Mus musculus: one gene and its partners. The protein of the gene in region 5 purifies or fractionates together with the protein of the main gene of each other region. This does not show direct contact. Links are inferred from orthologs where the notes say so. Each region holds a gene or a part of one and is shown on either strand. Other genes may lie near its edges. The genes, in order: Appl1, Rreb1, Bcl11b, Pml, Hdac2, Zmynd8 and Sinhcaf.

Region 1 (3,817 bases), on a different chromosome or scaffold from region 5:
AGTGCCGCTCTAAGCCTGCAGGGGCCATGTTCATTCAAACCCCCCAAAACCATGTCACTGAGACCTTAATTTTCTTATAATTTGAACACTGAAGTGTTAGGGTTATTTCTAAATTTATTTTTTAGGTTTTATTCTTCATAGGAAAACCCAAAATCATTCAGTATATTCTTTTGGGAAACAACTGTAGGATTGAAAAATACATAAATACTGAAGCAGTATTTATATGTTTTATATACATATGCATGTATTGTGAGTTAAGGCCAACCTGTGCTGCAAAAATAGAAAAGTACATCTCTCATAATGTACCATGTTGTGTTACAGACTCTATTCTTCATCAGTTATTTATTGTCCGATTCCTTGGTTCTATGGAGGTAAAGTCAGATGACCATCCAGATGTTGTCTATGAAACAATGCGCCAGATCTTAGCTGCTCGGGCCATCCACAACATCTTTCGTATGACAGAATCACATTTATTAGTCACTTGTGACTGCTTGAAGTAAGTAGCAACCCTCTCTAAAAAACTTAAGTAATTTTTTAGTTTTGCCTAATTAAAAAGTTTTTCAAAATTTTAATTATAGGTTAATTGATCCGCAGACCCAAGTTACAAGGCTCACAGTGAGTTCTATATGATTAAAGCTTTAAGAATCATTTGTTCATATATACATTTTATAGTTTGATGATAACCTGGTCCTATGTATCCTGGTACGACAGTATCAATAAGATTGTTCCTTAGGTTGTAGTTATATATGCAGCCAGCTCCAGAAAGTTACTGAGCACTTGTAAAGAGTCAACGTGTTTTGATGATAGTTTTTAATCCCTAGAGAGTTTATGCACCAAAGGAATTAGCAGAAGTAATCAAAACATGAACATAATTGTGTTTATTTTATAATTCTATATTTTTTTGTGGGTACAATTGTATGACTTAATCATTTTTGAGTAGGTTATTTTTTTGTAGCTAAACATATATTGGTGAATATGTTGAAAAATAACTCCGTATTTAATAACCTTTTTTTGGAATATTCCAAATATGGCATTATTTGTACCTAGATTATTTTTCTATTGAAAATGTGTCTTTAAAATTCTTACCTGTGATATTTTAGAATTTATCATGAGAGTTTATCATCTGAATGTTGCTGTACTGATTTGGGAGATCTCATATTTATGGTATTTCTGTGGCAGTTTCCATTGCCGTGTGTAGTTCTGTATGCTACGCACCAGGAAAATAAACGACTTTTTGGATTTGTTCTCCGGACATCAGGCGGAAGAAGTGAGAGTAATTTGTCATCAGTCTGCTATATATTTGAATCAAACAATGAGGGAGAAAAGGTACCTGCCTTTCAAAATGTTCATTTTATAAAGTACTCATCAGAGTCCATTTTCACCTTAAATTTCTGGGAAAAGCTCTCCGATTACGCCTAGTCCAGTTGAGCTGCTTGATGAGAGCGTGCTTCTCTGGGGAGAGCTGGCTGATGGTGCAGCCTGTCAGGTTCTGTGGATTATTGATAGCTGGTTCAGTCTTGAATCATTAACTTACCTTCGGGATGGAGTATATTCCTACAGTCATTTTTAGGTGTCAGTAATTCATACCAGTATCATTACCTAACTCCTTCATTCTCTGCATGACTTACTATTTCAGTAATGATGTTTTTTAAGTTTTTGTGGTTTTGCTAACTTCATAAATGAATACTGTATTAGCATCATTTCCTCTCCTCTCTTCCTTCCCAACTCCTCCTATGTCTGTCCTTCAAGTTCATAACTTTATTATTATTGATGTGTGTGTGTGTAAAACTTACCTGGTCCATTTAGTGTTGTTCTTATGTTCATATGTTTAGGTCTGACCATTAGCATTGGATAACCTATTGAGGCTCGTCTCTGGACATAACAGTCTTTTTCCTGTAGCTCTTCTTCATCCATGGGTTGGGCCTTGTGAGATTTCCATTGGCATGTCAGTTATCAATTTTTAGGTCTTGTTTTGGCAATCATATTGTTGAAATTTCGTAGCTACAGCGTTCTTATGTCTAGAAGACACTGTCTACAGCAGGTGTTCTGGTACAACCTTTTCAACTCTTTCTCTTTTCTTAAAACCACTCACAAATCTTTATTCACTAATGGGGTTATACTTTCCCTTTTCCCAGCTGTTCCTTCCATTGAGGGTTCTAATGAGCTTAGTATCCTCTGTCAGAGGAAGGTCCTGGTGGCTAGGTACCTAGTTTGTAGAAGGACCTTGTCCTCTGGGGGTTGATGGTCTTTGTTGTCAGGAACAAAGTGGGGAGGGACACTGGCCATCAGCACTCAGACCTCCATGATGTTCCCAGTTGGAGATGTAGGGTAATAGGGACTGGGTGAATCCCCACCCCGCCCCAGCCTCAGCAGCCTTGAGGGCCTCAGGATTAAGGCTTCCAGGATAACACCAGAGAAGCAACTCTGGGAAAGGCTCCTGAGTGGTGGTAGGGCTTGAGGGAAAGTCATGGGGGTGAGGGAGATTGCAGTAGGGAGGGGTGATCATTATGTAGGCTGACTTGGGAGATGTGGGTGGCTATGTTAAGTGCACTTAGGCATTGCTTGTGCAAGCGTTCCCTGGGGTCCAGGCTCAGAGTCACCCAAGTCTTAGCCTGTGGGTTATTATGTTGCAGGACCATTATGGTTTGGGGGTCCTGCAGAAAGAGGGTCAACTCTCTTATATGATTTTTCCTTAGCCTTAAATGTGTAGGGATTGTGCTGTAGATACATCAGTTGTATCACTTGGGCCTGGGCATGCTACAGTTACTTGTCTGCATTTTGACCAGTAGCTTTATGGTGATCTGATATAACGAGAAGTAGCATGGACACATGGTGGAAAGAAAAGCCAGCAGTACAAGGTCATCAATTCTGAAGGAACACGCTGAGATTCTTTGGGGTTGAAATAATTAAATTAATTCTTATTTGAAGAAGTATATTATATTATTATGAAACTAGTTCTGTCATCCATTTGGGTATTTGAAATTTTTAGTGTAGTATAAAACTCTCTAGTTTAATATAAAGGTTTTACTTTTTTTTTCCTTTTAGATTTGTGATTCTGTTGGACTGGCAAAACAGATAGCTTTGCATGCTGAACTGGTAAGAATCAGAGCCACTTAATTTCCAAGGCTGTCTAAGCTAAAGCAGTGTAATAAAAGCTCTTTCATACTAGCAGTAAATAAAGTTATATGCTAAACAAGATCAATGGTAGGTGCTGTTTCTTGTATAGCATTGGGAATCTGGAGCCAGGCCTAGCACTTGAGAGGCAGAAACAGGTGGATCTCTGAGTTCAAGGCCAGCCTGGTCTACAGAGTGAGTTCCAGGACAGCCAGAGATACACAGAGAAACCCTGTCTCTAAAAAAGCAAAGAAGTCCCAACCAAATAAAAAAGAAAAGACTCTGGACTAGTGTGTGTTGTAGAATGAAAACTATTTGTATGCCTAATGTAAATGTACTGAAAAGTTACAAAGCTCATATTAATAGAAATAATGTAAAATTTAAAGTTACTTCCTATTTAACATATCTGTTTTATTTACCCTTCCCCTTTTTAGGATCGTAGGGCATCAGAAAAACAAAAAGAAATAGAGAGAGTAAAAGAGAAACAGCAGAAAGAGCTCAGCAAACAGAAACAGATTGAGAAGGTATGTAGTCCTTTACGTGGAATTGATGAGGACTGATTGAGCACTGTGACTTTGAGATTAACTTCCAAATGGAAGTCCATTTCTGCTTGTTGATTCATTGCATAGCAAGAAAGAGCTGGCATCCGAATTGTGTGGAAGCTGCTGTGACGTATCACTTGCTCTTAAAGCAACAAACCAGA
Region 2 (3,817 bases), on a different chromosome or scaffold from region 5:
TCCAACAGATTCTAAAGATGGCAGCTTCCGCTCCTCCGCAGATCAGTCTTCCGCCACTTTCCAAGGCCCCTGCCACCCCGCTGCAGGCGATTTTCAAGCACATGCCTCCTTTGAAGCCAAAGCCCTTGGTCACACCCCGGACAGTGGTAGCCGCCTCCACGCCCCCACCTCTCATCAACGCCCAGCAGGCATCTCCCGGTTGTATCAGCCCCAGCCTTCCTCCACAGTCCCTGAAGTTCCTCAAGGGGTCGGTGGAGGCAGTGTCCAATGTTCATCTGCTTCAGTCCAAGTCTGGGATCCAGCCAAGCACCACCACACAGCTCTTCCTGCAGCAAGCTGGAGTGGAGTTGCCGGGCCAGCCCGAGATGAAGACACAGCTGGAACAAGAGAGTATCATTGAGGCCCTGCTGCCCCTCAACATGGAGGCGAAGATCAAGCAGGAGATAACAGAAGGTGACCTCAAGGCCATCATGACAGGCCCCAGTGGCAAGAAGACCCCCGCCATGCGCAAGGTGCTCTACCCCTGCCGCTTTTGCAACCAGGTGTTTGCTTTCTCTGGAGTCCTGCGAGCCCACGTTCGCTCCCACCTGGGCATCTCACCCTACCAATGCAACATCTGTGACTATATTGCTGCAGACAAAGCCGCCCTGATCCGTCACATCCGCACACACAGCGGGGAACGGCCTTACATCTGCAAGATCTGCCACTACCCATTCACGGTCAAAGCCAACTGTGAGCGGCACCTGCGCAAGAAGCACCTCAAGGCCACCAGGAAGGACATTGAGAAGAACATAGAGTACGTGAGCAGCCCCACCGCAGAGCTGGTGGACGCCTTCTGCGCCCCAGAGACCGTGTGCAGACTGTGCGGGGAGGATCTGAAGCACTACCGAGCTCTACGCATCCACATGCGCACACACTGCAGCCGGGGCCTGGGCGGCTGCCACAAAGGCCGGAAACCCTTCGAGTGCAAGGAATGCAACGCTCCCTTCGTGGCCAAGCGCAACTGCATCCATCACATCCTCAAGCAGCACCTGCACGTGCCCGAGAAGGACATCGAGAGCTACGTGCTTGCCACCAACAGTGGCCTCGGCCCCGCGGACACGCCCACGGATGCCGCTTCCAGAGGAGAAGAGGGCAGCTGTGTCACTTTCGCGGAGTGCAAGCCCCTCGCCACTTTCCTGGAGCCCCAAAATGGCTTTCTTCACTCGAGCCCCACCCAGCCCCTGCCTTCCCACATCTCTGTCAAGCTGGAGCCAGCCAGCAGCTTTGCCATGGACTTCAACGAACCCCTTGACTTTTCGCAGAAAGGCCTGGCACTGGTCCAAGTGAAGCAGGAAAATGTTTCCTCCTTGCTGACGTCTTCCTCCTCCTCTGCCCTCTATGACTGCTCCATGGAGCCCATTGACCTGTCCATCCCCAAGAGCGTCAAGAAAGGAGACAAGGACACAGTTGTTCCCAGTGACGCCAAGAAACCGGAACCGGAAGCTGGGCAAGCCGAGCCGCTCTCACCCCGCCCACCACCCTGCCCTACCTTGTCAGTGACTGTGGAGCCCAAGGGGAGCCTGGAAACCCCCACAGGCACGGTGGTGGCCGTCACCACAGCTGCCAAGCTAGAGCCCCACACTCAGCCCCTCCAGGGCTCCGTGCAGCTGGCTGTCCCCATCTACTCCCCCGCGCTCGTCAGCAATACTCCCCTCTTGGGCAATTCTGCTGCCCTCTTGAACAACCCAGCCTTGCTTCGGCCCTTACGGCCAAAGCCCCCCCTCCTCTTGCCAAAGCCCTCGATGACAGAGGAGCTGCCGCCACTGGCCTCCATCGCCCAGATCATTTCTTCCGTGTCCTCGGCCCCTACTCTGCTGAAAACGAAGGTAGCTGACCCTGGACCATCGATCACCAGCAGTAACACTGTGGCCACAGACAGCCCAGGAAGCTCCATCCCCAAAGCTGCCGCCACCCCCACTGACACCACAAGCTCTAAAGAATCCAGTGAGCCACCCCCTGCAGCCAGCAGCCCTGAGGAAGCCTTGCCTACTGAACAAGGGCCGGCTGCCACTTCCTCGTCGAGGAAGAGGGGCAGGAAAAGGGGACTGAGAAACCGGCCCCTCCCCAACAGCAGTGCTGTGGACCTGGACTCCAGTGGGGAGTTTGCTAGCATCGAGAAGATGCTGGCCACCACAGATACCAACAAGTTCAGTCCCTTTCTGCAGACTGCAGAGGATGACACTCAGGAAGAGGTGGCTGGAGCCCCTGCCGACCAGCATGGGCCCGCTGATGAGGAGCAAGGTAGCCCCGCAGAAGACAGGCTGCTGAGAGCAAAGCGGAACTCCTATGCCAACTGCCTGCAAAAGATCAACTGTCCCCACTGTCCCCGGGTCTTCCCTTGGGCCAGCTCCCTGCAGCGGCACATGCTTACACACACTGGTAAGAAGGCCCTCACGGCTCACCAGGCGGTGAGTCTTGAAAGGAAAGAGTAATGGGTAGGGATAGGAGTAGGCCTAAAGTTTGGGGCCTTTGTCTCATGCTCCATTCTTTGTCTCAGAAGTCACAGGCTGTTACTTTCCATATAATCTGTGCCTGTGGTCTGAGCCACCAAGGCTTATCTGTAAATAAATGTATCAGACACAGTGACAGTGGTCATAGGCTCCTTCACTTCCCTCCCCATAACCTTTGCCTGACAAGTTCCAAGAGTTTCTAAGTATGGAGGCCATTCCGGAGAAGTGGGACTTTGCATTAAGGTAACAGTGATGTAATGAGCTTGGTGCTTTGACATGATAATCTTCAGTGCCGTCTTTTTTTTTTTTTTTTGAACATTCTATGGAGTTCTTTAGCTACCACACATGTAATACAGAAAAGTGGGATTGGATATTTTTTCCCCTTCACTGAGGTAGCTCCAGCGTCCCTTACTTATTTTGACTTTTTTTCCTATTTGGAATACTTAGATGATTGATAGTAGTAATTTTTCTAAAGTTCTATTTATCCTAAAATTGTCAACTGTTGAGGAAAACATTCTGCGTATCATTTGAATGTTTTAATTAACAAAGCTAGATTACCAAAACAACATCCCGGAAATAGTTTTCAGATGTCAGTTTCTAGAAGTTGAAGTGTAGAACAGAGACTTATCTATTAAATTACTTTATGCCTAGTGCTTCTAATATTTCAATAGCCATCTAGAAAGGTATAATTATAATTTTCTGAATAGTATCACAGGATTTGTATCATCGATCGATTGGGCGATTGTTGTACATTCAGTGAAGTCCTTACCCTTTTGGAGTTTACAGTTTAAAATATGGATCACTGGCAAGATTTGACTTTTCAGACCAACAAGTATTTTGTAGTATTTGGGACAGACGGAAACATTACTTATTGATCAGAATGATGCTCAAATTTTACTGCAGATCTTTTTGCAGTAGATCTTGCTAGAAACACTCCAGGAAGGAATGCTGTGATTTCCACCCACCCACCCCCGCCCACTGAAGATTTGTGTAGATAGGCCATCTCTCAGCAAACTGACAGGCTTCCTGGGAGCCAAAGTGTCCATTTCTTTTCCATTTGTGATGGCATCTGCAGATACCAGAGACGTGTCCCCTCTTTCCCTGGGGTTTGATCACTGTTGGTGTAGGAGCATCTGAACCTGTTCGGTCCCCAGGGCCCACAGAGTAGAAAAAAGAGCCAACTCCTACAAGTTGTTCTCTTGCTTCTACACGCAAGCCATGGCACAAGTGTGCTTACGTGTGCACGCACACACAAACAGAGAGAGAGAGAGAGAGAGAGAGAGAGAGAGAGAGAGAGAGAGAGAGAGCGCAGCCAACAGCATTGA
Region 3 (3,817 bases), on a different chromosome or scaffold from region 5:
AATGTTGTATTTCCTCATCCCTGACCCAGGTCACCGTAGGTACACGGACCTAGTGCCTGAGCAGAGTTCTTAACAGAGGCAGGGAGAGGCCACAAGAAGGAGTCATGAGGGACACACAGCACCTCCATGAGTGGTGTCATCACAGGCATCCCTTGGGTCAGATCTCCAGCCACAGACTTTGCTTATGATCACCCCCATCCCTAGGCTGCCCTGGAAACCAGGCATCCGGGACCTCCTCTTCCATAGCAGGGGAGCAGCAAGAAGATTCCAAGCCAAGTAGCAACATGAAAGATAGGGCTGGAATTTCCTCACATACTCCCTGAGGGACACCCTCCTAAGGGGAACAGCATAGGTGTTCAGTGAATGAATGAATGGATGAATGAATGAATGTCCTCTAGGACCCAAGCTTTATGGAATCTTTTCTGTACCTTTCTAATCCTCCCACAGAGCTTCTCAACTTGTGGGTTGCAACCCCCTTGGAGGCCAAGCAACCTTCTCACAGGGATTGCCTAAGATATTTACATATTCGCAGATAATTACAGCTATGAAGTAGGACCAAAAGATAATTTTATGGTTGGGGTCACCACAAGATGAGGAACTATATTCAAAGGTGGCAGCATTAGGAAAGCCGAGAACCACTGCTCTGTCATTTAAAACAGCAAAAAGATCACAAACTATAGCTATCTCCAGAAAGACCTTGCCAAGGAAAGGGTAGGGACTGGGTCAACCACACTTTGGTTAGATGACTAGCCAAACCCCAGCTCCACTCCCACCCTGGAGACACAGTTAAGGACAGGGGGACTCTCACCTACAGAACAACATCTCTACCCATCGCTGGGGCCCTGCTTCTACAAGTGTCAGGCTGAGGGGAAAGGCTGCCCCACCAAAGTGAAGGCTGCAGACCTCAGAACATTCCAGTAGCATAGCCACCCCACCAAGGACTCAGCCATGATGGCCAGCTAGGAGCAAAGTCCCAAGAATCAGCAGCCACCTGCTCACCAGCGGCTGCCAGGGACCATCAAGGCCAGTGGAGACAGCAGCAGGGCACAGAGCAGCAGGGAAGGGACCCTGAAGCCACAGGCGGGAGACAGGAGCAGGGGACCCATGGAGACCAGTGTGCCAGGGGCCTGGACAGCAGCTGGAAGGATTTCCGGGTGCCTGAGTGGAGAAGGGCCCGTGATTCCTAGCTCCCCTCTTAAAATATAAAGACTCAATTATCTTTGAGCAGCTTGCTTTACACATGAATTGACACATTTATTTTACAATAAATAACTGAAAGTTATCTGTGTTTCCTTTACTGTTAATCTACAGAAATAATAAACAGGCCTTGTCTACCAAGCTGCAAGGACTGCGGGGTCCTCGGAATTCAATTAAGCTAAAATAATTAATGCTCTCACCATATTAAATTACTTTATACATTTGAGCCACTGATGTTTTATTCTTTAATCTTTTCTTTCTGTTAAATGGGGAAAAAGAAGAAGAAGAAGAAGAAGAAAAGTTGGTACCCAAGTGAGGAAGGACCAGGAGACCCTGGGGTAGAAAGGAAGGGTGGGATGGGTTGAAAGAAGAGGAATGGCCAGATGCAGCTGACACGGCATGCAAAGTGCTTTGTGCCTTTGATTAGAATAACATTTTAAATGCTTTGAACAAACATAGCTCTTTAGACTTCCAAAGGCTTATTTTACATATTTTCTTCTAGAACGAACAAATCCACTCCTCCCTCGCTCCTCTTGCCCCGACTCCGAGCAGACGGACCAAGGCTATCTCCCGTCACGCATAAAATAAAAATACTGTGGGCCATTAACAGTACGAGGGGAGGAAACGGGGTGGGGGTGGGGGGCAGAGGGAATGGAAGGATAAGGACGAAGCTGTGGGGAGATTAAGCGCCTTTTGAAAAATCACATTTAGTTGCTTTCTTAGGCAAACTTCCCCACGGTGATCCGCAGGCTCTCTTTGGGAAAGACCTTCAACATAAAATGAGGATTTTGAGGCTGGGTCAGCAGATGAAAGTGAAGTAGGGACCAGCCACCCCTCAAAGGCTGCTGTGCACTGCAGACGCCGGGCAGGCGTCCCCACACTCTTGAAATCTATCCCAAGTGGTATGCCTGGCAACACAGACAAGGGACGAGACACCCTTTTTGCCTTAATGGTGGAGGTGGTGTGCAGCCATGCCTGTCTGCCCCAGGCCTGATTACGCTGCCAGGACACCCACCAGAAAGCCAAGCCAAGGCCAAGCTGGTCCACAGATTCTCCCCACTGCCCATCTTATGCCTGTGGGGGTATCAGACTGTCCAGTTTCTCCCAGTATACAGGTGGATAAACTGGAGCTCAAGTGTAAGCAACTGAGGTGTGTGGTGGAGCTGGGCTTACAGTGACTCTGAGCGCCTCTAGGTGACATGAGGTCCTGGCCCATGCTTTGTATCACCTTCCAAGAGGATACAATGCCCCTCTCCCCTAACCCCCATGTCCTGGGGCTTCAGGACCCAAACTCCTCCAGGACTGGCTCCACAGTTTTCCATCTGGCTGCTGCACAGCCAGAGGGACACCCCCACGAGAGTTCTCCTGCCAAAGCTCTTCCAGAGCCCCCCTTCCTCCATCATCACACAAGGCCTGCTAGGATTATTCATTCCCCGTTCACAAAAGAGGAAAATAGGGCTCTAATTCTCAAGATATCCAGCCCAAAGTCAAAAGGCAAGATGAAGTCGAAATCAGACAGATTCCCAAAACCTGAGGGTCAGGCAAAATGGGAAGCAGGCTCATGAAAAGAGGGCCTACCCCCTTTTTTTCACAACAGGGGAAACTGAGTCCGAAGAGAAGAGTGTAGACAAGTGCCATGCATAAGGGCCTAGCAGGTACTACCACACTCAGAATCACCTGCGTTCTTCAACAATCGACACAAAGGGGGTGGGGGTGGGTCCTTCTGGACTCCATCTTAGAGATGAGGAAGCCACCGTTTCCAGGTTGGAAATGACAGAGTCCAAACCGAGCCTGGCTCCAAAGCCAGGGGCTGAGCCAATATCACCAACGAAGAGAGGGCCAAGCCAACCTCCAAAATTCCATCTCGTGCTCCAGGCCACTTCTGGATTAAGCACAAGTCAGCATTTTCTCACCAAAAGCAAAGTAGCCAACACACAACAGTCAGGTCTTCTTCACCTTGTCTTCCCCGGAGAGTCACCTGGAAGGTGGGCCCTCAGAAAAGGGAAGCCCCAGATGGTGACCCAGAGGCCATTTTGAAAAGCCCTGGACCTCCTGAGAATCAGTGCTTAAAAGTCAGGGAGTTGGAGCAGCTAGGGAGGCAGCTTCAGCAGCCACCAGGTAAGCAAACGTCATACCTGCAATGTTCTCCTGCTTGGGACAGATGCCTTTCGTGGGTGACAGTAGGTGGTCATCTTCATCAGGGGTGACCTGGATCCCGATCTCCACTGGCTCAGATACTCTCCTGAGCTCAGAGCGAGAGGAGGGAGGTGGACTGCTCTTGTCCAGGACCTTGTCGTAGCAGGGGCCCAGGCCTCCACACTGTTTCTTCTTGTGCTCTATAAAAACCAGGATGTCCCCCAGCGGGAAGTTCATCTGACACTGGCCACAGGTGAGTAGATCAGGGTCGGGGCCTCCCACCATCAGCCCCAGGCTGCTAGGCTCCTCTATCTCCAGACCCTCGTCTTCCTCGAGGATGGTAGCCTCCACATGGTCAGCCTCTGCTGGAGACAGAAAGGAGACAGGGAAGGGGCAGAGAAGACAAGAGATGGGCTTAGGTCATCACAGACTGGTTCCTTCCACCCTTTCCCACTGAGAGACGAGCCCCTCGACTGCCAGCCTC
Region 4 (3,817 bases), on a different chromosome or scaffold from region 5:
GGGTTGGCTGTCTGGTGCAAGGTTCCTAAATGCCCAACTAGCTCTTGATGGGCCACTAGCCAGTTCAGGAGGGGTCAGACCCAGGGGTGGGCAGGCGGTGAATGTAAAGAGTATAAGCAGTGGCCCTGTTGGATGTGACACAGGATGTACCTGATGCTCACACGGACTGCCAGAGCTGTTTTCTGGGGCTGGCATAGGTGGATCTCCACTCCCATGCACATAATTCTTGGACTTAACACTAAGAGTCAGAGCTCAACCCCACAGATTCCAGGGCCATCATATACCTAATAAACTAGTTGCTTAGGGTTGGAAAACACCCTTAGATAATCTCATGCTGGCATTACTTCTGCCGTATCCTTAGCTCAGCAGCTTTCATATCCAGGCCGTTGGGAACAGGAAGTGCATTGGTTCCTGTTTTGATTGCTCTGACTGAGCACTTCTCAGAGGAGAAACACACGGGTATCCTTTTCATTCTCCTTCATCCACGCTCATAGGCATGGCTCCCCTGCAACAGGATAAGCTCTCTCAGTTCCTTTCTGTGCCTGGCATCTTTCCCTCCCCAGCTTGGTCACTCTGTTACGTGTGACTGCATGTCAAGATGTGGGCCCAGAACCAGGCAGATCTTCTGGTGGGGAGCAAGGGTATTAAACCTTTTCTAGCTTTGCCTTGGGGCAAGCCATGGAAAAGAGATTGCTGTGGGTTACAGCAGTGGGGAAAGGCTTCATGGGGGAGGCAGGACTTTTGAGAATTTTAGAGCTACAAGAGAGCGTGGAGTGTAAAGCCTCTTGCAGGGATGTAGTTAAGACCCAGAGAGACTCAGATGTGAGGAAGTTTAACTTGGGCAGGGTCTTTTTCCATAAAAGTTCCTCGTTTTTACTGTGGTCGTCACCTGGGGGCTGAAGCTAGGACTCGGGAAAGACGTGGGTAGCAGTGTGTGGGAGCAAAGGTCCTGTGAGGCTAAACTATAGCTGCATAGCCAGTGCTGACAGGAGAGGCAGCTCAGGCTGACACAGCACTGCCCCATCCCCCACCTTAATGTCTCCTGCTTCTTCAACGCTAGTGAGAGTTGTATTGAGGAAACAGAAGTAGAGGCACCCAGCCTTGCCTGCAGGGATTTCCTGGCCTAAGTAGAACAAGAGCCTTTTATACGCCAGCAACTGCAGAGCCATAAAGGCAAAGATAAAATGGTGAAAATTCCTGCTCCTGCTCTGAGGATTGAATATATGGGGCTTGGAACATGGCAGGCAGGTGCCTAACCACTGGGCTTCCTGCCCAGCCCCATGCATAGTTTGCAGTTGAATATCTACCTTCAGTGCTTTTGAGGTAGTACCTAGGAGTGTAGAGTTGGTAAGCCATGTGGTGATTCTTCCATTAAAAGAGATTTATTTACTTATTTTATGTATATGAATGTTTTGCTTGCATGTGAGTGTACCATATGTGTACAGTACCTGCAGAAAGGTCAGCTGTCGTGTGGGTTCTGGGAACTGAACAACTGAACCCGGCTGCTTTGCAAGAGCAGCCATCTCTCTCTCTCTCTCTCTCTTTTTAAAGATCTATTTATTTATTTATTATATGTAAGTACACTGTAGCTGTCTTCAGACACACCAGAAGAGGGCGTCAGATCTCATTACGGATGGTTGTGAACCACCATGTGGTTGCTGGGATTTGAACTCAGGACCTTTGGAAGAGCAGTCAGTGCTCTTACCCACTGAGCCATCTCGCCAGCCCAGAGCTGCCATCTCTTGAGCTCCCTTTTCACTATTTGAGGAGTTGTTCCTGCTTCATTTAGCAGGACCCTGAACACCAACTCGGACATGGAATAGTAATCAAACTAGTATTATATTCATTAGCCATCCTTGTCACCCTCACTACTGGGTACTAGATACTCTTCAAGACATTTTGATGGCGTTCAGCAAGTGTCATTATTCCATTTTATGGAGGGAGACTGAGACCCAGTGAGTTTTAAGTAATTCCAATGCATGCAGTAGCTACTAGAGTTTAAGACTCGGGTAAGGCAAGCTCCCAGGAGGCTGGCCTCCAAGTTCCCGACTGCTGCAACTCTGTTGCTGCTGAGGGAAGTGTTGCTTTCAGCAGCAAGCAACCTGTCTGTAGAGGCAGGCAAGCTAGGCTGGTTGTCAAGCATATTCTGAGGATAGGCACCATGGTCCCGGAGGTGTCGTCCTGCCCTGTCAGGACACACACAGATTGAAGCAGTGCCTGGGTGCCAGCAGCCCAAGGTCAGAGGAGGTGACATCATGGAGACTTTTGGGAGAAATTACTTGTCCCAGTGAGCTCTTTGATTGGGACCAAGCTTACACCTGAGGCAGGTTGTAGGCCCAGGGTCATTGCATTTCTAACTTTTCTGTTACCTGCTTTTACAGCCCAAAGAAGTGCAGAGTGTACAGGCTCAGGCCCTAGAGCTGTCTAAGACCCAACCTGTGGCTATGGTAAAAACAGTGCCTGGAGCACACCCTGTACCAGTGTATGCCTTTTCAATGCAAGGCCCCACCTACAGAGAGGTAAGCCCCCACTATTCAGCACTGCCTCAATCTAAAAGGCTTAGACTCCAGCCAACAGTGAGGTGTAATTGGAGAATCTGGGCTTTCTCAGGCCTATATTTGCTCCGTATTCTCCATTGCTCTCAGATGCTCCCCATGGAAGCTCGAAATAATCTTAAGCCACTCTCAGCCCAGCTGGGATGCTGAGACAGCCAAAGCTATGAGATCAACCGAGACTGTTGGTCAGTGGCCATGACCAGTGCACATGGCGACCTGAGAGAGCCTCCTGTTTGCAGAGATATGCTCAGCATGGCCAAAAGAAGGAGAGTGAAAACATGCCACAAACCCCCTGTCACTCAGCTCAGTGTCTCAGCCCAGCACCACTAGAGGCACCCCAGTCACCCCTCTAACTTCCCACTCTTCAGGAGGCTTCTCAGACAGTCGGCTCCATGAAGAGGAAGTGCTCCCACGAAGATTGCTCCAGGAAGATCATCAAGATGGAGTCCACAGAGGAGAACGAGGACAGGTTGGCCACAAGCTCCCCCGAGCAGTCCTGGCCCAGCACTTTCAAGGCCACCTCCCCTCCCCATCTGGATGGGACTTCCAACCCTGAGAGCACCGTCCCTGAAAAAAAGATCCTCCTGCCCAACAACAATCATGTTACCAGTGACACAGGGGAAACAGGTAGGAGGATTAGGCAGGGAACACCTGTGTAAGACTGTCATGCCCTCAGATATCTGGAACACCCCAGGCCCCACCTCCACATTCTAATCCCACCTGGGCACTCAGAGCCATCAGGACTCCCATGCCCGAGCTGCTCTGAGCAGCCATTGAATATGGCACTGGTGGTTTACCCTGTGCTTGCTATGATTTCAGTGTGGGACACTGGAGGGGCTATGCCTTAGCCCTGCCTCCTTCCCTCCGAAAACTGCTAGTGCCAATCTCTGTGCTCTGGGGACATAAACACTCCATCTCCTCCTAGCACACACAGGACAGGGTATCTGTCATCCCCAGCCCATTGGACAAGGATTCTCCTGGATGTCTCACCCTAGCCAGTGGCCATTCCAGGAAGGATTTAATGCTGCCACCCCCTCTCCTTTTCAGAGGAGCGAGTTGTGGTGATCAGCAGCTCAGAGGATTCGGACACCGAGAATCTGGTGAGTAACACGGACTTCAGCCTAGGACTTCTGCCTCCCCTTGTTCAAGGTCCCAAAGGCCACAGCCACAGCAGGTGACTCTCAGGCTCACCTGGCACCTGGAAAATTTCCCAGCCAGGCAATAAAACCTAAGTCATACCAAGGACAGTCTGCAGGCACTAG
Region 5 (3,817 bases):
TGTTGAGCCATCTCCAGCCCTCCCTCCCTCCCTCCATGTTGAGTTGTGTTGTTTGTTTGTTTGAGATAGGGTTCCTCTGTGTAGCCATGGGTCTCCTAGAATTTTCTCTGTAGACCAGGCTGACCTCAGACTCAAGAGACCCACCTGCCTGTACCTCCTGATGGCTGTGATGAAAGGTGTATGTCACTAAGCCCAACAATTCTGAAATTGTGTAATGTAGCCCTTGGCATACCCTTTAGGTGTGAGTACATAGATAATGTCTGCCCGTTTTTAAAGTGTAAAGACAAGGGTAGACCTCAGAGTACAGTACTCGATTGTCTTGGTAGCCCGAGGAGACGTGACGTGCTGGGGTCTGGATGCTGAGACTGCGGGGGAAGAAGGGTGAGCATTCGCTGTAAGATGAAGGACCTGCTTCCACATTCCGGCTTGCGCTTTCCTTTCAGGTATCATCAGAGAGTCTTATATATTGACATAGACATCCACCATGGTGATGGTGTTGAGGAAGCTTTTTATACAACAGATCGCGTGATGACCGTCTCATTCCATAAATATGGGGAATACTTTCCTGGAACAGGAGACTTGAGGGTAAGACTGAGTTCTGTCAGAATAAATATAAGAAGAGCATAGGAGGTTGCTAATTTCTGGAAGAGCCATGTTGTCTTAGTCATTTTGTTTGTGTATTTGTGATGGGACCTCGGCATCTGGTGTGTATGGTTTTTTTTGTTTGTTTCCGGAGATGTGGCCTCACCTTAGTTGAGCAGTTGTTGGGATCATTGCTTACTGTTAGGATTTGTCACATGTGGACCCACTGAATGCTGCTTGTTGTTCAGCTGTGATTACTTTGAATATGTAGAAACGAGGGATCAGAAGTGGTCTCAACTCAGTTAGGTGTAAGTGCTGATCCTAAAAAGTTTGCTGTCCTCTCCAGGTTGCATAGGTTGTCTTGGGTAGCAGGGGTGGGGTCACAATGGGAATGGACAGTGTTCTATAGGTGTGGGGTACAGATTATCACACTGTCTTGTGGTAGGTTGGGAGAGGTCAGGCAGTGTCTTTATCTGAGATCACAGGCATAGAGTCCCAGGGTGTCTTATTAGGTGGTGTTGAAGACTGATTTTGGGCTCCCTACCTGGGGTTGTGTTCTCAGGACTCCATGTTGCCCCAGAGTGGCGCAGTGGATGTAGAAGCTCTGAGGATCCCTCCCTACCTATGGGTCTGGGTCACAGGGCTCCTCACTTTGAGAATGGTGGATAAGTGGGCTCTACTTTTACATCTTGTAAAATTGTTTCATGCCTCAAACTGAGGTTTGTAAGAACTTTTTAGTTTATTTTGTGTGGTGGGGAGGAGCACATGTGTGCCCTGTTACATGTGCAGGAGTCCTCCTGCCATGGGTGGATCCTGGGGATCAAACCGTGGGGATCTCACTTGTTGGGCTTTATCTACCCAGGTATTTCGCCAGCCCAAACTACAGTGCTTGTGTGTTATCTAAAAACTGCCTTAGAGCTTAAAACGTACTTCTACAACCTAGAATACCCAAGACACAATTTACAAAACTCATGAAACTCAAGAAGAAGGAAGACCAAAGTGTGGACACTTTGTTCCTTCTTAGAAGGGGGAATAAAATACCCACGGAAAGAGTTTCAGAGACAAAATTCAGAGCAAAGACTGAAGGCATGGCCATCCAGAGACTGCCCCACCTGGGGATCCATTCCATAAACAACCACCATACCCAGACATTATTACATATACCAACAAGATTTTGCTGACAGGACCCTGATATAGCTGTCTCCTGTGAGGCTATGCCAGTCCCTGGCAAATACAGAAGTGGATGCTCACAGTCATCTATAGGATGGAACACAGGGCCCCCAATGGAGGAGCTAGAGAAAGCACCCAAGGAGCTGAAGGGGTCTGCAACTCTATAGGAGGAACAACAATATGAACTAACCAGTACCCCCAGAGCTCGTGTCTCTAGCTGCATATGTAGCAGAAGAAGGCCTAGTCGGCCATCACTGGGAGGAGAGGCCCTTGGTCTTGGGAAGATTATATGCCCCAGTACAGGGGAATGCCAGTGACAGGAAGCAGGAAATGGGAGTGGGTGGGTAGGGAAGCAGAGGGAGGGGGGAGGATATAAGGAATTTTTGGAGAGGAAACTAGGAAAGGGGATAGCATTTGAAATGTAAATGAAGAAAACATTTAATTTTTTCAGAATTGTGTGTTACTTGGTCTTTTAATCATTTTAAAATATGTCAGACTTTTTGTTATGAAATAGTCTTCTAAGATCTACTTTTGTGTTTTAGGATATTGGTGCTGGAAAGGGAAAATACTATGCTGTCAATTTTCCCATGAGAGATGGTATAGATGATGAATCATATGGACAAATTTTTAAGCCTGTAAGTACTGCTTTCAGAAATAAAATGGGAGTTGTAAATATCCTTAGATACTAATGTGTCTTATTCTGTGGCTAGATCATCTCAAAAGTGATGGAGATGTACCAGCCTAGCGCGGTGGTGCTGCAGTGTGGCGCAGACTCCCTGTCTGGGGACAGGCTTGGTTGTTTCAATCTAACTGTCAAAGGTAAGCAGTTCACGTTCCCCCTGGTGTGGTGTTTCTCCTCCCCAAGAACTTCCCATAAAAGTTTTCATTGCTGAGGGCTGGAGAGATGGTTAAGAACACATGTTCCTTTTGTAGAAGACTTGGGTTGGATCCCAGCTCCTACATGTTGGCTCAAAATCTAGCACTCTCTTCTGATTTGCATGCATGTGGTACGCACCATACATGTTTAAAAACATATTTTTAATTTCTCATTGTTACCTTTTGCTTGCCAACTCGATGCCAAACTCTATATTTGAATTTTTAGTGGATTTTTATTTGTTGTTGTTGTTTGTTTTTGTTATGTGGCTGACTAGTTAATTTAGTTCCCCAAGTCTTACATGTTATCATATTTATGTTTATGTATTTATCCATGAGTAGTTTGTTGCCATGTCAGCGCCAGCAGTTTTTAATCAGTTTTTTCAGAAGACCTGTACCTTGTTGTCTGATTCAGTTGCTGTTACAGAGTATGAGGATTTAGCTTGGCGCACTTTATTCTATCATGGTTACTCTCTTCCTTACCCAACCCTAAGAACTTCGGTCGCTGTGGCTAGTGCTCAGCAGCAGTGGTTTTTAGCTTAGCAGTCTTCTCTACTGGCAAGACTCACTTTTTTTTCTTCTGGATTTTTTTGTTTGCTTAGTTTCCATATTCCTTATTACTAAACTATGAATTTCTAATGTATTCTGCTCAGCTATCTCAGGTGCTCTGTCACTGAGCTCCTCCTGTTCGGACTTAGTGTCCTCATGGGTTTAATGGGACAGAGAGCTCTCTGCTTCTGCTTTATTATGTCTCCTGATCAGTGGGCACTGTATCTAACTTGCTGGTGGAACACATAAGTGTCTTCATGAGGAAAGAAGCCCAAGTGTAAATGTGTAAGGTGGTGTTGAAATTCTCAAGTCCTTACGAAGAGCCGAAGTCCACATGCTGAATACAAGTCTCATATTGCTGTTATGGGATGAACTTCGAGGGTTTCAGAATGAAGCAAAGTTGCATGTGGCAGCGCATGCTTTTAGACTCAGCATTAGAACAGCAGAGATGGGTCCAGGCCAGCTAAGGCTTTATATATAGTAAAACCTTGTCTCATAAAGAAAAAGATAAATAAAATAAATCTTTTTAATAAAGTTAATGTTTGGATTAGAAATGACTTAGCATGCACATTGCATGTTTTACTTTAGACTTTCTGTGTGAACTTTGAGGTAGTAAGTAACATCTTGCTTTGAGTTCTCTTAC
Region 6 (3,817 bases), on a different chromosome or scaffold from region 5:
TTTGCCCACACGGGTACCACCTATGCAGGCCTGAGCCCCAGACCAGAGATATGGGCATCTCTACCCAGAAGGCCACGGGAAACTTCAGCCTTTGAAGATGAACTTTCTGACCTAGAGCCAAAGATCGATGTACCAGTCACTTCAGGTGGCATTAGCACAGGTGAAGCGCTCATGAAGCCTGGCCTCAGAAGACTGCAGCTACCATGGGAGGTAAGAAAGTCCCAGTCCAGCCCACGTCCCGGGAGGGTGCCCGGGACCTCAGGAGACCTGTCTCTTGTGGCCATTCAAACCTGACACAGCCACACCCTGACCCACGGGAGATTGGCATGACCAAACCCTTTTGCCAAAACGGTTTAGTTTTTTTTTAAAAAGGGTTAAGAACCTGAAAAACTTGGGATGTCAAAGGGGGGAGAACCCAAAAGCTCATAACCGCGAGAGGACGCTGTTCAGCCATGAAGAAACGCCATCATCAAAAAAGATATTTAAGTTTAATACAAATTTTATACAAAGAAAATGTGAAAAAATACTCCCATATGCTAAAAGCAGTTACGCTTCCCAAATAAGGCCAGCTAGGCTAGATTGTTTTTTTTTGTTTGTTTTGTTTTGTTTTGACGACCGCAATTCACAAATTTTCTCTCTCTCCTGTTTTCTTCTAGCGTTTCTTCCTTTCTTCTCTAGTAGGGGTAAACTGCCTGAACAACGCGCAGCTTGGCATTCTCTTATCAACAATGAAGAGAAAGTAAACGGAGACTAAAATGTACAACGGAATGTACTGGAATGATATACAGTTAATTTCTTTTTTCTGATATACACACATCACCTTTTGCTTCGATCGATGCTCGCTTTACACAACATACAAAATGGAACTACAGCAGACGTAGCGTTAACGGACAGCATGTCGGGTCCTGGCTTTCTCTCACACTGCCTGTGTTTCATGCTTACATAAAAACGTAGAACTCCAGCAGATAAATAATACATACATGCTCCATCCCCGGGCTGGCGTGGGCTTCGTGGCCTCGCCGTGCACCTTTGCTTTTTGAGTCCTTGCTTCTGAGAAGCACGTCTTCACAAATCCATGTGGGTGTTATGGGAAAAAACTTGGCCGAGAGAAGGGGTCTCCTCGCACGCACAGATGCCCGCTGGCTGCGTTCGTTCCCGACACCCCTGCACAAACGCCGGGCGCTGGCTGCATTCGTAACGCCACGGGGATAGCTCGCGTGGACCTTCTGTAAACAGGAGGCTGCTTTGCCCCTTCGGGAGCCAGAGCTGGAAACACACCACACACACATACTTCTCTCTGTGTCCTTCAAGGCCAGCAAGCATGTGTTTCCTAACATCGTCTTGTAGGGTCTGTGAGGGGCGGATGGCTTGGTGTGGCGGGTCTAGGGCAGCACAGCCTGAGAGCCCCAATCCTGGTGTGCTGCGGCGACAGTGGCTCCCTCCCCTGGGTATCCAAGGACAAGGGCCTACGTGAAAATAGCAATCCCTGGGCCCAGCCCTGACACCCCAGTGAGGCCAGCGGGCTCACTAACCAGCCCCTGGATTATCAAAACATTCTTTTAATTGTAGATCTTTATATATATATGTATATATATAAAACTTGCTTTTCTTTTCTGTTTTTTTTATAAGTTAAGGTCAGTGTAGATATGAAAAGGAAAGGTACGCTAGGTCAGTGACGTCACAAGTGTACCTACTTACACCTAAAGTGTTTGGCTCACAGGGTAGTGCCATCCCAGCCAAGACCAGAGCTGGGATGGAGTCAAGTCTCTGTCCTGCAGCCAAGCCGACGGGCAGAGCCTGAGTGTTGGAAATTCTAAAGGTGGCGGTTCTCCAGTTTCTGTTGCTTCCTGTGGTTTGGGCTGTTTCTCCCGCCTATAGGGAGGTGTTCTGGCTCACAATGCACCCCTAGTCCCAGAAGGCATCTAGCCGAGACTCCCGGGACTCTTTGGGCATGAGGTTCTTCGTGCTGGTCCCTCCACTGTGCTCAGAGCGGGATGACGCTCGCTTCTCCTCGCTGCTGCTCCACAAACCTGCCTTGCTGCTCCGGGAATGGTCTGTGAAGGAAAGGCAGTGTGTTCAACTCCCCTCCCCACCTTCCTCAACTCATCTCCCAGCTGGAAGTTACCTTCCCTCCCTCCAGCCAGACCACGCCCACTCCAACCGGACCACGCCCACAGCTGCCCCTGAGATCCCAGGGCTGTGGCTGTAGAACACAGAGTGAGGGCAGCTGGCTTTGGGCTATAGCTAACTGAAAGGTCAAAAGGTGTCACACTAGCAGAGAGTGAGGTTAGCGAGTGATGGTGTCCAGTCGACGGGGAACCCCTGCCCTGTTAAGAGTCTGGACTATACCACGGGGGGCCCATGCACCTTGCCTCTGACCTCGGCTCTTAGAGAAAGACCCGCAGAATCTGACATCTGTGGTGACCTCACAGAACTCCTGATTCATTTATAAGACTCATATCCAAACCAGGAAGATATTGTAAGAGAAGAAATGAGGACCAGATGAGATGGCTAAGCCCACCTGGACACTGACTCCGTGGACTCCCAGTAAGGACCATGTTAGGGGTCAGTGACGGATACAGACCCCAACGGACACCTGGGATGGCTTTGAGGTCACACGGGCAGCAAGTTAGGTAGTGGCTGAGGAAGCAAAGAGGAAGCTAACAGAAGAGCCACAGACGCTATCACAGAAGAGGACAATGGCCCTACACTAAGGCCCTACACTTAATGGCTGGCCACTAAGACCCCTTTGCTGCTCCCAGATTCTCTAACTTTCCTGAGCTGTGGAGCATCAAGCTTAAGATGGAGCAGGGCTAGTGAGAAGGGACCACTGCTGCCCTTGGGGGACTGTCTTTCTTACTTCTTACTGCCTGTTCACAAAGCACATGCAAAAAAATAAAATAAAATAAAATAAAATAAAATAAAATAAAATAAAATAAAATAAAAATTTAAAAGTTCAGGCTGCTTTTATATTCAGCCAGAAGGGGGCAGTGTTCTAAAAGGACAATCAGAGTTCCAAATGGTCCTTTGAGAGCTCACATTCCTGGCAGTTAGGCTATATAATCTTCTAGAAGGTCTTTGAGGGGTGGCATGGATATAGTCGCACATCACCAAGTCCTTCCAGCTGTGGGGAAGAGCCAAGATCAGTGGGGATATGAAAGAAACAGAACTTGAGATTCCAAAGCCTGAGCCTCTAAAGGACTGGGCCCAGGATGCTGGCTAACATGGCAGACCACGGCAGGGGAGATGCAGTACCCAGCTAAGACAAAACAAAGGCTCTGAATGGCCCAACCTACAGCAGTTTGCAAAGGCAGCAATGGGGAACAAACAAGAAGACGACGGCGACGGCAAAGCAGAGGGAGACCAACACTCAAAGCACAGGACACGCCCACACGGACACACACAGACACACAAAACATGGCTTCTGCATGCCAGGAGTGACTCTCCCAGCAGCTCCCCTGAGACAGGGTCATACTTACACTTCTGGGCTGGGTAGTTGGGGTGCGGCTGGTGGTCTGTAGTGGTTGGGGTATAGGCAGGCTGCTTGTCACACCTCTTGCTAACTGAAGAGAGCACAGGTAGCCTTAGAATCCATCACAGCTGAAATTGCACACAACCCCAGGGGCCGACACCCATGGCTAGCTGTTCCTTCATGTAGGCCACTCGACTGGATGTGCTTACAGGTGACTGGGGCCTTTAAAAACTTGTGTAAACCACAAACAGGGTCGTTGGACACGGCGCCACATCACAGGGAGGAAGGTGAACATAGAAGGACACGCGGGGACATAAAAGCAGCCCCATACTTGGCAAGCCACAA
Region 7 (4,534 bases), on a different chromosome or scaffold from region 5:
CCCTGGAGTCACCCAAAGGAAAGCCAAGGTTGTAATATCCAAGGTTTTTAATTTTCTTGACACACTCTCTATTCACTTCAAAAATTATTATTTCCCAGTCAAGGCCACATCTAGATGAAAACAAGCTAACTGAAACACAGGATTAATTGTGAAAGTCGCAACAGATATGGTGTTGCTGGGCTGGATGTCTAGACTGCAAGCAAACCCCAAATACCAAAGAAGCATCCATGTGTCAAACGAGCATAATTTTTGAGCTATGCCTGGAGCCACATACCAAAAAGTTAGCTTGAAAAAAGTGTAAGAGGGTAAGTAGAAGGTCAGTCCCAGTTCCCAGGAATTGTGAAACTAGCAAGGGCTCCCTACACTGGCAACTTCTCCCAGCATCCTTTATCTCGGAAAGGCCCTACTCCCCAGATGCAGCAGTTCTCAAGGTTATCTAAGATTTATCTGAGTCCTGCATACTTTAAGGTCAAAACACAAAACATCCTCAGAATACTTTAAATGCATTTATGCTTTGCGGGGACTCAAAAAACGAACCCCAGACTTTCGCGTTCAGTTTTGCAGCACAAAAACCATTAAAATGATTTTCAAGTCTGACAAACTTCAGTTCAAAAGCAGATGTTTTCCGGACACTGCTAGAAACAAGTTTTACGTCCACCTCTCACTAAAAAAGTTGCCGGATCCTTCTTTAGAAAGCATTAAGAGAAGACCAAGAGCCTACTTGAAACGAACTCCTAACATGGAGGGGGAGGGGGGACACGGTGCACGTCTGGCTCGTAGTCATTCTTCACCTGCAATAAGGAAAGGTGAGAAGAAAAATAACAAGAGGCGGACTGGGGTGCTGGTTACCAGAACTGCTCCGTCTTAAAAGCCGCCCAACCCAACCTGCCCTGCGCCTCGCCGGTCGCCCCACGTGTAAACACACAAAGGCTGCACGCACCCCCAGTTCCTCAGTCTCCACTTCCAAGAGGGGCAAGAGCCGGCGCCCCGAAACTTCCCCGCGTGTAGTCGGAGGTCCTGGGTAGGGCGCGGAGCTCCACTCCTGGAGGGAGCCCAGCGCTCCGGGGTCCCCGGGCACCACGCGCCATCCGCCGCCCTCACCTGCGCTGGAACAACGGCCCGCGCCCCGCCGGCGCCGCCCGAAGGCCGCGCCTCTGCTCCCGGGCCGCTCCGCACGCTCGGCCTGACGTAATTCAAACATGGCAACAGTTCCACTTCAAAGGCGGATGCACGGACCTCCCAGACGCGGCCTCCCGTGCCTCGGAGCCCCGGCCACGCGTGCGTCCCGCCGAGCAGCGCTCCGTCGCTCCGCATGGGTGACCCGCAGGCCGAGGCGCCCCCACGGACACAGCCTCGCTGAGCCGCCGCTGAAGTTTCCGAGAGGACCTAAGGGACAAAAGCCGCCCCGCGCCCCGCCCGGCCCGCGCCGCTCGGGCACACGCGGCCCTTTGTTGTCCGGCGGCATCGGCGACGTCGGGGCGACCCGGACCCGCGCCCGGGGACCCACGCGAGCTCGGGTATCCTGAGCCACTGGTCCCTGGGGCCAAACTTTTGCGGAGTCCCGGATGAGAAACGCCCAGAGGTCCCCGCCGCCGTGCATATGCTGCGAGTTGGCGACTTTCGCTGTGCTTTGGAAACTGGCAAGACGCCATCACCAGGAAATCACATTGTCCTGCTCCCGACAGCCCCGACGGCGACCGCAGCCCGCGGCTCACTCCGAGCTGGACACTGAGATGTAGCACGGTCGCGGCCCTAAGCACGTGGCTTGTCAGGTGAAGCACACACAACAAAAAGGGAAAAAAAAAAAAAAAAAAAGAGTTGGGTGCCTCAAGCAGCGGACCGCGCCGCCGCCTTCATCCGCACTGTTTGGTGCCGCGGGCCACGGCCACCCCTCCCGTGTCGCCCGCACCCACGCTACAGGTGACCAGACGGACAGCGAACTTTGGGCTGCAGAGACCACTCGGCACCGGCCGAGTGCAAAGACCGCGTGCTGCGCGCTCATTGTCGCAGCCGCGTCCCTGCGGACTTCTCCAACAACGCCACGCCGCGTGCGTCGCGCCATCCCGGCGCTGGCCCTCACCAGCTGCCTTCAGCCTGTGTGGCCGCCGGCTCCAGGAACTGGCAAGTTAGTTTCCGAGCTCCGGCTTTGTTGTTCACCCGCGTGCAAACACCGTCGCGAGCGCCGGGGTAGCGCAACACGCGGGTGCACGCGGAGCCCAAGCCCCTGGCCAGAGCAGAGCCCACACGGGATCTGCGACCCCGACCCTGCTCTCCGGGTCTGCAGGAAACACTACGACCTAGAAAAGTCATTGTCACTTTCAGCGTGGATGCAAGTCCGCCGCAGCTCGTTCGTTTCCACGCTGCACTCACTTTCCCCACACCCTGACTTTCGGTTTACCTCAAATATCCTCCTCAATTAAGAAGCGCATCTCCAACGCCTCTGTACAAAAGAATCTGGAGTCCGGAGAGCACGAGGGCAGCGCTCCCCGCAATGCCATCTCCAAGACAAAACTTCCTGTGTGTTTGTGTATGGGAAGGACGGAGGAGGCGGGGGAGGTAAAGGGAGGAAAGAAAAAAAAAAAATCACAGAAAACAAAACCTCGGAGACAGTTTTGCACCGATGTCCGGACTAGAATCACTCACCTTCCACGCGCAGCAGCGTCCCCACGGTGCAAACTGCACCAGGCCAACCTCCTGCAAGCACTCCCTCCGCCAGCGCCGAGTCCAGAAAGATTGTCTCCAGCAGTTCTTCAGTTGCTACCGCGAACGGAGGTATAGATTCCGCTTTCCCTCTGCGCAGGCGCGGCTCCCGGGACCAAATTCTCTTGAATCGAGCTGATTTGCATACGGGCGCGTGCGCGCCGCGGGCTGGGCGGGGAGAGGGCAGGGCGTCCGCGCGCGTTCCCGCGGCCTCTATTGTCCTTTTAAGGGGAGAAGCGGCGAGGCGCGGGAAACGCGGCGGCCCGCGGGGACGGGGGCGGGTCCTGCCTACTCCGCAACGTCACGTAAACAAACGCCCTCCCCAGCCCCCGGGGGAAAAGGAGGCGACGCGGGGGCGTGGCAGGACGCGAAAGGTGTAAAGGTGAGCGTTGTCCTCACCGAATGGCACCCCTTAGGAAGCTACTGAGCTTGGAAAGTTCTGGAAGCTGCTTTTGCAGCATTCGCGCACCTATGCCCAGTTTCTGGCTTGAGGTGGCAGAGAAAGTTGTCGTGGAACCACTCAGTTTGTACTTGTTCCTGCCTTTCCTAAACTCTGTTTGAAGGTGAGCTTTACATTTTGTCTTTCAGGGCCTGCCTGGCTTGTGAGACTGCTCAACTGGTACTTTCAAGTCTGATCACCTGAAGGCAATAACCAACTTCTGCAAATTCGCCCCGCGCACCACATGCACACACAAATTAAAATTTCAATTCTCCAACAGAGTTTTCGTTCTTTGGGGCTTTGATGATAAATTGTTTAATAAAGTCGCATTTTGAAATGGTCCATTCAGTAATTCCGTCTTGTCCCTCTCAAACATGACCCAACCCATAACTGAGTGGTTTTGCTTTGCTCACTTGAACTGAAGTTTTCAAGCCTCTGCGAATTTCATGGTGGTAATTACCGTGGGAATGGTGCCACTTTCTGAAAACACACAAATCCTCCAGCCGTGAAGAGCTCCTCTGCCCAGAAAAACCACTTGTGAGGGGAGAAAGTGGAAGCAAAATACACACTATTCCTTGTGGAATATACGATAATCGAACATCAAAATGTTTCTAAAGAAAACCTAAAAGGGAGGTGATTGTAGAAGAAAGGGAGTAATCTAGAGAAAACAAAGAATAGGGAGGTTCCAGACAATGAGGAGGGAGGAAAAAGGAGGAAGACGCTTAAGTAACTTTTCAGATGAAAAAGTAAGAAATGAAAATATAATTGTGATACTCCTTAAGCCCAGCGACCCATAACACCTGGTTCAGTGATCCTGGGAGGATAGGTAGGAAAGAGAATGTTTTTTCACCAAAACTTGATACTGGTCCTTTGCTGCAAAGTATGGAAACCAACTATAAAAACAAACAAAAAAAAAAAAGACAAGATTCACTGCTTTTGCTGTATGCAGATTCAAACAAATATTTCTGAAATGCTACTTTAATTCAATAGCCAATTCCTAAAACACAGTTTAAACCTACTTGTGAAGACCTCAACGTTTTTTTTTTTTAAAGTTCTGTAACACTCTTCCTGTAAAGGAGTAAAATAAATAAACCTGACAACTGTCACTAAAATACAACTCTTAAAGGCAAAGATTTTTCCCTTATGTTTGTATTCAGGCACCTAAAACAATGCTCACCACATGATGGATTCTTAGTAACTGCTTATAAAATATACTTGAATTTTTAAATTTTCCTATTGGTTTATTGCAAGTTAAAATACCTTACAGTTTTTGCATTTGACCTAAAAGGAGTTTGGGGGCTTATAGTGAACTTTAATTGACATCTTTGTCCTTAGGTAATAAAATTTTACAGCTTTAAGAATTTTTTTTCCGGGCTGGTGAGATGGCTCAGTGGG

Evidence for each region.
Region 1: the proteins of Hdac2 (region 5) and Appl1 purify together in Homo sapiens (co-immunoprecipitation; 3 studies listed by BioGRID and IntAct, with this or other methods). This does not show direct contact. The link is inferred for Mus musculus from reciprocal best matches to the Homo sapiens genes HDAC2 and APPL1.
Region 2: the proteins of Hdac2 (region 5) and Rreb1 purify together in Homo sapiens (affinity purification with mass spectrometry; 4 studies listed by BioGRID and IntAct, with this or other methods). This does not show direct contact. The link is inferred for Mus musculus from reciprocal best matches to the Homo sapiens genes HDAC2 and RREB1.
Region 3: the proteins of Hdac2 (region 5) and Bcl11b purify together in Homo sapiens (affinity purification with mass spectrometry; 4 studies listed by BioGRID and IntAct, with this or other methods). This does not show direct contact. The link is inferred for Mus musculus from reciprocal best matches to the Homo sapiens genes HDAC2 and BCL11B.
Region 4: the proteins of Hdac2 (region 5) and Pml purify together in Homo sapiens (affinity purification with western blotting; 3 studies listed by BioGRID). This does not show direct contact. The link is inferred for Mus musculus from reciprocal best matches to the Homo sapiens genes HDAC2 and PML.
Region 6: the proteins of Hdac2 (region 5) and Zmynd8 purify together in Homo sapiens (affinity purification with mass spectrometry; 4 studies listed by BioGRID and IntAct, with this or other methods). This does not show direct contact. The link is inferred for Mus musculus from reciprocal best matches to the Homo sapiens genes HDAC2 and ZMYND8.
Region 7: the proteins of Hdac2 (region 5) and Sinhcaf purify together in Homo sapiens (affinity purification with mass spectrometry; 3 studies listed by BioGRID and IntAct, counting the BioPlex papers as one, with this or other methods). This does not show direct contact. The link is inferred for Mus musculus from reciprocal best matches to the Homo sapiens genes HDAC2 and SINHCAF.

What each region holds. Positions count from the first base shown.
Region 1 is NC_000080.6:26,925,238-26,929,054, reverse strand, and holds part of Appl1 (DCC-interacting protein 13-alpha), read left to right. Parts: intron 1-321; coding exon 322-496; intron 497-578; coding exon 579-615; intron 616-1,179; coding exon 1,180-1,326; intron 1,327-2,201; exon of another isoform or gene 2,202-3,045; coding exon 3,046-3,096; exon of another isoform or gene 3,097-3,418; intron 3,419-3,548; coding exon 3,549-3,638; intron 3,639-3,817. UniProt on the Homo sapiens protein: Multifunctional adapter protein that binds to various membrane receptors, nuclear factors and signaling proteins to regulate many processes, such as cell proliferation, immune response, endosomal trafficking and cell metabolism.
Region 2 is NC_000079.6:37,930,069-37,933,885, forward strand, and holds part of Rreb1 (ras-responsive element-binding protein 1), read left to right. Parts: coding exon 1-2,421; coding exon of another isoform or gene 2,422-2,474; exon of another isoform or gene 2,475-3,817.
Region 3 is NC_000078.6:107,986,133-107,989,949, forward strand, and holds part of Bcl11b (B-cell lymphoma/leukemia 11B), read right to left. Parts: intron 3,699-3,817; coding exon 3,333-3,698; intron 1-3,332. UniProt on the Homo sapiens protein: Key regulator of both differentiation and survival of T-lymphocytes during thymocyte development in mammals.
Region 4 is NC_000075.6:58,229,193-58,233,009, reverse strand, and holds part of Pml (protein PML), read left to right. Parts: intron 1-2,381; coding exon 2,382-2,519; intron 2,520-2,923; coding exon 2,924-3,182; intron 3,183-3,602; coding exon 3,603-3,655; intron 3,656-3,817.
Region 5 is NC_000076.6:36,991,314-36,995,130, forward strand, and holds part of Hdac2 (histone deacetylase 2), read left to right. Parts: intron 1-443; coding exon 444-585; intron 586-2,294; coding exon 2,295-2,387; intron 2,388-2,462; coding exon 2,463-2,571; intron 2,572-3,817. UniProt on the Homo sapiens protein: Histone deacetylase that catalyzes the deacetylation of lysine residues on the N-terminal part of the core histones (H2A, H2B, H3 and H4).
Region 6 is NC_000068.7:165,783,685-165,787,501, forward strand, and holds the end of Zmynd8 (protein kinase C-binding protein 1), read right to left. Parts: intron 3,564-3,817; coding exon 3,480-3,563; intron 2,055-3,479; coding exon 1,906-2,054; 3' UTR 468-1,905; downstream 1-467. UniProt on the Homo sapiens protein: Chromatin reader that recognizes dual histone modifications such as histone H3.1 dimethylated at 'Lys-36' and histone H4 acetylated at 'Lys-16' (H3.1K36me2-H4K16ac) and histone H3 methylated at 'Lys-4' and histone H4 acetylated at 'Lys-14' (H3K4me1-H3K14ac).
Region 7 is NC_000072.6:148,943,649-148,948,182, forward strand, and holds the start of Sinhcaf (SIN3-HDAC complex-associated factor), read right to left. Parts: upstream 2,823-4,534; 5' UTR 2,644-2,822; exon of another isoform or gene 941-2,643; intron 1-940. UniProt on the Homo sapiens protein: Subunit of the Sin3 deacetylase complex (Sin3/HDAC), this subunit is important for the repression of genes encoding components of the TGF-beta signaling pathway.